Oryctolagus cuniculus: one gene and its partner. The protein of the gene in region 1 binds, or shares a complex with, the protein of each later gene. Links are inferred from orthologs where the notes say so. Each region holds a gene or a part of one and is shown in the gene's direction. Other genes may lie near its edges.

Region 1 (3,806 bases):
ATCACCTGAAATTGTGAAGGAATATAATTTTACCCCAAATGTAGAGTTTATGCATATTGCATATTGAAAATTAGCTACATAAGAAAGATTTAACAGAGTAAGCAGTGTTGTCCACATAAAAACTAAAATCTTTCTGCTTTTTCACTTTTCCTTATTGAGAAAGTAATGTGAAAATTATGTTAATGCTATAATTCATGTTTTTGTAAAAATATTTTCAGTTCTATACTTAAACTTTGAACCACATACATGTTTCTAAGATTATTGCTATTGAAATTAGGCATAACACTTTAAGTCTAGAAGTTTTCAGTATTTTATCTTTGCGATCTACCTGCATATTAATTTCTAGGCAGTTAATCTTTAAGTAATATATAAGGTCTCTGTATAAGGTGGAGGGAAACAATAACCAGAAGGAGAAGCAAGGGAGATTGGTATGGTTGAAGCTAGGAATTTCCTTAAAAGTCTTCTTTTATCCAAAATGTGTAAGACAGAAGTTGTGGACAATTTTGGAAATATTTTTGCCTTACTAATGCTCTGCTATAACTTTATTTCTTCCCCAGAGAACAAATTAAAAGAGTTAAAGACTCTGAAGATGTACCTATGGTCCTAGTAGGAAATAAATGTGATTTGCCTTCTAGAACAGTAGACACAAAACAAGCTCAGGACTTAGCAAGAAGTTATGGAATTCCTTTTATTGAAACATCTGCAAAGACAAGACAGGTAAGTAAAGCTGGAATCAATACAAATCCATTTTCTGCAAAATATTTCAATCATGAATCATACTTTACTAATAGATATTTTAGCATCATTTTAATGGTAGGAGAAGGAAATTAATGTGTTCATATGTGATAACATTACTATTCTGTCATTGATGTGATTTTCAGTTTTTCTCTCAGTGTGTTAAAATAGCATATAGAACGGTACCTTCTCTTGAGCAGACAGTGCTTCTTAATGCAGTGTTATGGTAGTACTTTCCGCTTTGATTTCTTTCCACAGTGAAATTTCCCTTGCTCTGAGCACATCTTACATTCAAGAAATGTGCGATTTCACGTTACATAAAGACAAAGAACAGGGGAACAGATTTTGAGTTTGTGCTTTTAAGAGTATCATGTCATGTGTTTCTAGATTGAATTTTGTTATATTTGAAGAAATTTTACTTTGGCATTTTTTTTCTCATTAAAGAGTATTTTGAAAGTGAATAGAAATTCCATTATTCATTTAGTGCATTGTTCTGGCAAAAATTAATCCCAGTTAGAACCTAAATTTTGTTAAAGAAATCATCATTTAAAAAAAATATTTTATTTATTTGCAAGGCAGAGTTAGAGAGAGAGATCTGCCATCCACTTGTTTACTAACCAAATGGCTGCAATGGCCAGTGCTAGGCCAGGCTGAAACTAGGACTTCATCCTGGTCTCCCATGTGGGTGTAGAAGCTCAGGGACTTGAGCCATCTTCCCACTGCTTCCCCAGACACATTAGCAAGGGAGCTGGATCAGAAGTGGAGCAGCTGGGACTCAAATCGGTGTCTAAATGGGATGCTAGTGTTGTAGGCAGCGGCTTTTAAACCGTTATGCCACAATGCTGGTTCCAGTCATCTTCATTTTAAAAAAACTTTTTCTCTAGGTAAAATAAAATAATTTTAGCTAATACTATCTACCCTGTTTGTATGAAATAAGAGTTTAACATTTAAAAGGAAAATTCTGGAAAGGAACACAAAGATGTGATAGAATACAATTTTCATGCATAGACTGTAAGAACTTGTACAATATATGCTCCATACATTTTTTTTGGAGTTTTTTCTGGTTATGCGTACCTGTGAGCCCACAAAGATGGTTTTGTAGAATTTAACTCTTGTGTTGCTAGGAATTTAAAAAATTGATAAACAACTCATTACATAGTTAAACTCAGAAAAGCAGGCATTCTAGATGTTTGTTGAATTTTGTAAAGGGATAAAAACATAAGTGTAAATTATTCAGCTGTTATTTATGAGTTACTTCTCCAGTGAGATCATAAGTAGCTCCTCCTGGTTTGGTACACTATTTGGGTGTTTGTTTTGGAATTAAAAACTGAATTTTTGCAGTTTTTCCATCATATACATATTTCTTCTATGGCAGATAAATTATTTAAGTAAAGACTTGGTATATTTCACTTCAGAGTAATTAGGATTTCATTCAAATTCCTTCCCAAGTTCCAAATTTTAGGGTGGTTTGTTTTTTTTTTTGTTTTGTTTTGTTTTGTTTTGTTTTGTTTTGTTTTTGGTCTTTCTCTAGTCTTTCTTACTAGTCTCAATTTTCTTCAGCAAAGAAGGTACTCAGAAAACATGATTATAATATTTATAGCTTTTTCTTCCAGTCCTTTTTTTGGTTTTGTTTTTAGTTTATTTATTTGAAAGGGAGCATTAGAGAGAGAACAGGCAGGGCAGGGGAGAGAGATCTTCTGCCTGCTGGTTTGCTCCCCAAGTGGCTACACTGGCTGAGGCTGAGCTACAGGCAGACCAAAGCTAGAAGCCTGGAACCCCATCTGGGTCTCCCACATGGGTTGGCAGGGGCCCAAGCAGTTGGGCCATCTTTAGCTGCTTTTCCAGCTGCATTCACAGGGAACTGGATGGGAAGTGGAGCAGCTGGGACTTGAACTGATGCTCATATGGGATGGTGGTGTCACAAGTTAGCAGCCTAACCAACTGCACCGTGACGTCAGCCCTCCGATATTTTTTTTATGAAAAAATTTCGGATTTAAAAAATTGAAAAGAATTTTTATTGAAAACATTAGCAAGCCATCTATACTGTTATTAATATTTTATTGTAGTTGTATTATTCATAGATTTTAAAAATTTCTTTTTAGTCTTTTGAACATTTTTGTTAGCATTTCACATAAAAAAGGTAAACAGTAGAGAAGTGCTAGTACATTACAGTGCGTGCAGATCAAAGGGCTTATTAAGATCTCAATTCTAAATCAATGGGCTTAGGTTGGATCCTGTGAGTCTGCATGTCCAGCAAACCCCAGGTGATGCTGGTTTTGGTCCATGGACCACAGTTTTAAGTAGAAAGGTAGTTAGATGATACTAAAAGGACTCTTCCTTGTTAGTACCACAGTGTAGCTCTTCACTCCTTTCCCTGTTGATTGATGGCTGCCGCAGAAGCACCAGGTAGCTGATTCTTGGTGTTTTGGTGTTTTGTTATTAATGCTGTAATGTTTGAAGCATTCAGCTATTCATAACTACTCAGAAAACTACCCTGGCTTGCTTGCCCTTTTTTTTTTTTTTTTTTTTTTTTTTTTTTTTTTTTTAACGATTTATTAGTTTATTTGAAATGCAGAGTTAGAGGCAGAGAGAGAGAGAGAGGTCTTCCATCCACTGGTTCACTCTGCAAATGGCTGCAGTGACTGGAGCTGGGCTGGTCTGAAGCCAGGAGCCAAGAGCTTTTTTTGAGTCCCCCATGTGGGTGCAGAGGCCCAAGCACTGGGCCATCCTCTACTGCTTTCCCAGGCCACAACAGAATGCTGGATCAGAAGTTCAGCAGCCAGGATGGCAGGCGGAGGCTTTACCTGCTACGGCACGGTGCTGGCCCCTACCCTGGCTTTCTTTTAAAATATATTTTTAGTTTTAGGCTGTTTTGAGGCCTTGATTTCTTTGTTGTTTTTTTTAAAGGAGTATGATATAGAAGTGGATTAAGTGAAGTTTGCTTTGTAGACATTAATGTGGACCATAATTAAAATGTAGAATGAAATAATATGAAAGAATATTTCTCTTTCTTAACCTAATGTCTAGCATATCTTAGATTTATATCCTACTTTATTGATGTATTTATGAAA
Region 2 (4,326 bases), on another chromosome or scaffold:
CCCCATTTTACAGATGATCAAATTGAGGCTCAGGGAGAGAACAACTAGCCAGTAGCAGGGCCAGGGTTTGGCACAAGCATCCCGACCCCGAGGCTCCGAGCCGGTATGGGAGCGGCAGGAGTGTGGAGGGGGAGGAGAGCTGTTGTACTGTGGAGTCAGGCCAGCGAGCAGCGTTCATCTACTCATTGCCGGAAGGTTTGGGGCTACCCGGTGGCTTCAGACCCAGTAGTTATAAGTACTTCCTGGGGCTGGTGTCATGGCCAGCAGGTTAAGCCACCACCTGTGTGACGTGGGCTTCCCAAATCAGCACCGGCGTGAGTCCTAGCTGTTCTACTGTGATCCAGCTCCCTGCTAATGAGCCTGGGAAAGCAGCAGAGGATGGCCCAAGTAATGGGGCCCCTGCACCCACAGTGAGAGAGCCAGATGGAAAAAATGGAAGAAAATAAATAAAAGTACTTCCTCAATGCTAGAATCCTCCTTTGCCTCTGAATGGTTTTATGTTTAATACAGTTTTGTAGGGGTGCTGTGGTCTGGGTATGAGTTTGGGTGTCCCCCAATGCTCACGTGGTAAACGTTTGGTTCTCCGAGTCTCACGTTAGTGGTACTGAGAAGGTAGAAGCTGGATCCGCCCGGATGTTTAGAGGGGGCCTTTGGGAGGTGACCACCCTTCCCAGCCCCCGCCCCTGCCCCCGCCCCATCACAGGCAACTCTGGCACAGTCATGCCACGTACCCCTCTGATGATCCACATTCCCACGTGAACGTGTGTTCACTCTCGTGGAAGTACACCCTGCCCTCCCCCCGGGGGGGCACCGTATGTAGGTCTCTGCTTTGAATTCTTAGCTGGGGGTGGGTGGGGGTGGGGCAGGCTCCAGGAATAAGAAGGGCACCCAGGCCTATCACCCTGAGAACTCAGCCCAGGTCTCCCCCGTGGGTGGCAGGGACCGGGTGACTTGAGCCATCATCTGCTGCCTCCCAGGGTGCGCTTGAACAGGAAGCTGGGATCCAAACCCAGGCGCTCCCAGATGGAATCAGACATGTGTGTAGGGGGTCTCAACCCTTACACCAAACGCCCGACCCCACCCACTTCTGTAACACAAATTGCCCTTGGCTTGGGAGCGCCAGCAGGTAATGAAAGACCCCAAGAAGCAGGAGTGACTTCTATACTCAACTGGACCAAGAATAGTAAGGAGAGAAGAAGCCATTAAATTCTGCGGGAGAGGCTTGAGAGACAAGAGTCGTTTTCACGGTTTCTCCTGGCCCAGCTCCGGGAGAACAGGGTGTGTTCAGGAGTATCTTCTTGCACCTGCTGTTTCTCAAGCCCCTGGGACAGCCAGCATGGCGGGCTGCTGTGTCCGGCTCCTTCCATTCGTCAGCCGGGCGCTCGCTCGCAGCAGGCGGGCAGAGCGCCCTGGGAATGCCCCTGCTGTGTGGCCTGGGCTCCGGGCCGGAGAGGGGAGGGGAGGGGCGCTGCGGGCAGGGCGGGGCGAGCCGCGGGCGGCCCGCTGTCCCCAGCGGCCTCCGGGGTAGGGGCCGGGCCAGCTCGCGCCGGCCGGGGCTCCGCGGCCACTCAGCCGGTGTCCGTCGCCGCGGTGGCCGCTCTGCCTCCCTCCGGAGTCCGGCAGGTGGGTGGGGCGGCTCCTTTCGGGGACACCAGGGAAAGGGGAGGCGCAGCAAGAGCCGCGCAAGGTGCCGGAGCGCTGCCGGGCGGGGCTGGGTAAACAAGCCGGGCGGGCGGCCTGCAAGCGGCGGCCGCGCTGGCGCGCACGGAGCCGGCGCCCTGCTCGCCCGCTCACCCGCCAGGGGTGGTCCGCCCGGGGCCAAGCGCAGGGCGGGCGCGGGGCCAGCGAGGAACCTGCGAGGAGAGGGAGGTGGTGGCTTCTGCGGGGCGCGGGGACGAACCTCGCGCGGGCTCCCCTCCTTGAGCCCCTGGTGTTGGGGTGGAGGGCGGGGGGACTCGGGTCGCTGCTCCCCGGTAGTGTCATCATGAGCCCCCGCTCCCCCGTGTCTCAGGTGTTTCTGCAGCGAGTGAAGCCAAGTCCACCCTGACCTGAGGGTCCACGTCGGGACGGAAGATGCGCGCACCCATCGTAAGTGCGGGTGCGGGTGGGGTGGGGGGCGTGTGTGGGTAGTGACCAGAAGTCCTGGAGCCCCGCAGAGAGCATCCTCGGGGCTGGGGGCACCGTCCACCCCTCCAGCACCTGCAGGACCTCAGGTGTCGGCTGTGGGTGGGAGGCCACGTGTTGGAACTGTTGCTGGGTCCTTGCAGGGGCGCAGGAGCAGGGGGCGAGGCCCCTCTGCTAAGGTCAAACCAGGACAGCAGACATTGTCAGAGGCTGGCTGTGCTGCCCCCGGGGCCTGGCTGCGGGTCTCCCCCCCCCCATCCCCACCCCGTGGTGTCAACTGACTCACCTCCTGACCACCCCAGCGGGCCCTCTTTCTGACCTGCTGTGCGGCTGGGAAATCCTGAAGAGGCTTGGCACAGGGCCGGGCTGGAGCGTGGCGGGACCCCAGCAGCAGAGCGATTTAGAGTACGGGTTTTGCATTTTGATCAAGCACAAGCGCAGGAGTGCTGGGAACAGCGTGGCGCGCCGGGCCATCCTGCAGAGCTTCCAGCAGTGTCTGGGGACAGTGGCATGGTTGACCTGCTCTGGTCTCGTTTACGTGGCAAAATTGTTCCCAGGAACAATCATGAAATGAAAGGTAGTGAATGTGCAGGAAAGAAAAAGTGGCAGGAACCCAGAGACTTGGGCCCTCATTGCTGCATCCCCGGGTGGGCTGCGGGGTCTGAGCTGCGGGGTCTGAGCTGACAGGTTAAATGCCTGTTCCGCAGGAGTGTGTTTTTGAGAAAAGGGAAGAAATGTATTCCTACCTATAGGTTGGTCGCAGTCATGAATCATTAGAATGCTACCATTTCTGTTTTGAACACTTGCAAAAAGTTGTCCGTGACTTTGTCAAGATGGATCTTTGCATATTCGTATTCAACAAGTAGAGTTAATTTGTCAGCCCACAGTTGGTTGAAGAATATTACTTATTAATTATAATTTTGAAAGCTGCGTTCACTTGAAGCAATAAAATGAAACAAAGCCTTAAGTGTTAGGATTGGTCTGGCAGAGATTTATGAAAATTCTGTTTCATAATAAATTCCAGACATTGCAACACTATCCACGTTTTTTTTTTTTAAATCAGTTCTAGCAGCTTTTAAATATTTCCACACTCACAACATTTTCACTAAGATGTCTGCACCAGAAAATTCACCCTAAGTTTTTATTTTACTTGGCAAAATTCCCCAAGTTTTTCTGCTTCTGCAAAAATCCGGGGAGAATGGCTGAATGACTGAACAGCACGGACAGTTCGTTAATCCTGGGCTTTGGAGGAAGGCAGCTCTCGGGAACACGAGACGAGCCAGCCTCTTCGATGTTGCTCTGGTTCCTCCTGGCGCTGGGAGACCCAGCTGTTCTGTCTTCTGTTTAAACACAGGGAAATGTAGGACTGCAGGGCGTGGGCTGGTCAACTGTATAGCTGAGCTGGAACCATTCTGAGCTGGGGAACTGACTGGAAACAGACGTGAGTGAATGAGGCTGAGTGGAAGTGGCTGACTGGATGATGGGTGCTGTTCTCTTTAACTTCCGTGGAAGACACCATTTTTAAAATAAAAAGAAGTAGACAGGAGTGTTTAACGCTAAGTGGAGACACCCTGGGAACGCAGACTTCCTGTGTCAGCCTGCCTGGTTCCAGCTTCCTGCTAGTGCAGACCCTGGGAGGCAGCAGCACTGGCTGGGGTCCCGGCCATCCACGTGGGTTGAAAGCGGCCGGCAGGTGCATTAACCGCAGCCAGGCTTCCGGTGGGTTCTGTTGCTTTTGTGTTTCCCACAGACAGCTCGCCCCTATTTGTCTGCTCTGGGGAGTGAGGCTCCCCCTGGGGTTCTTTGGGCTCTGCCAACCTTAGCTGTCACTCAGGTGCCTCCTGGAGGGGAGGGGGAGCTGGTGTGGGAGAGGCTGCGTGGACACAGCTCTGGTCCAGCCGTCCAGCCCGTGGCGCCACCTGGCCTGGCCCCTCCCTGCTGCAGGATTCCAGTGTGCTGGAATGAGCGGGCCTGGAGTTTGCCTTCCCTCCTCCCGCGACCTCAGCCTTGACCCTGGGGTGTGCAGAGCACCTGCTGCAGAGAAACAAACTGAAACTGAAACTGAAACTGGAGCTGCAGCCCAGGGAGATGGGGCTGGGAGTCCAGGCTCCTTCCTGTGCCCACTGCTTTCCCGGCTTCTGAGCTTGCTGGGCCTCTGGGACATCTCTGGACCCTTCCCAAGTAGCAGTGGGGGGTGGGGGC

Evidence for each region.
Region 2: the proteins of KRAS (region 1) and PLAAT3 are in contact, whole or in part, in a crystal structure (PDB 7C41), measured with the Homo sapiens proteins. The link is inferred for Oryctolagus cuniculus from reciprocal best matches to the Homo sapiens genes KRAS and PLAAT3. Residues at the interface, in NP_001356715.1 of Homo sapiens: Ala11, Gly13, Lys16, Ser17, Tyr32, Asp33, Pro34, Thr35, Ile36, Thr58, Ala59, Gly60, Gln61, Asn85, Asn86, Lys88, Asp92, Tyr96, Lys117; in NP_001121675.1 of Homo sapiens: Leu65, Tyr66, Asp67, Val68, Ala69, Gly70, Ser71, Asp72, Lys73, Tyr74.

The regions. Positions count from the first base shown.
Region 1 is NC_091440.1:122,525,316-122,529,121, reverse strand, and holds part of KRAS (GTPase KRas), read left to right. Parts: intron 1-557; coding exon 558-717; intron 718-3,806. UniProt on the Homo sapiens protein: Ras proteins bind GDP/GTP and possess intrinsic GTPase activity. Plays an important role in the regulation of cell proliferation.
Region 2 is NC_091432.1:7,561,475-7,565,800, forward strand, and holds the start of PLAAT3 (phospholipase A and acyltransferase 3), read left to right. Parts: upstream 1-1,485; 5' UTR 1,486-1,623; intron 1,624-1,762; exon of another isoform or gene 1,763-1,869; intron 1,870-2,011; 5' UTR 2,012-2,073; coding exon 2,074-2,088; intron 2,089-4,326. UniProt on the Homo sapiens protein: Exhibits both phospholipase A1/2 and acyltransferase activities. Shows phospholipase A1 (PLA1) and A2 (PLA2) activity, catalyzing the calcium-independent release of fatty acids from the sn-1 or sn-2 position of glycerophospholipids.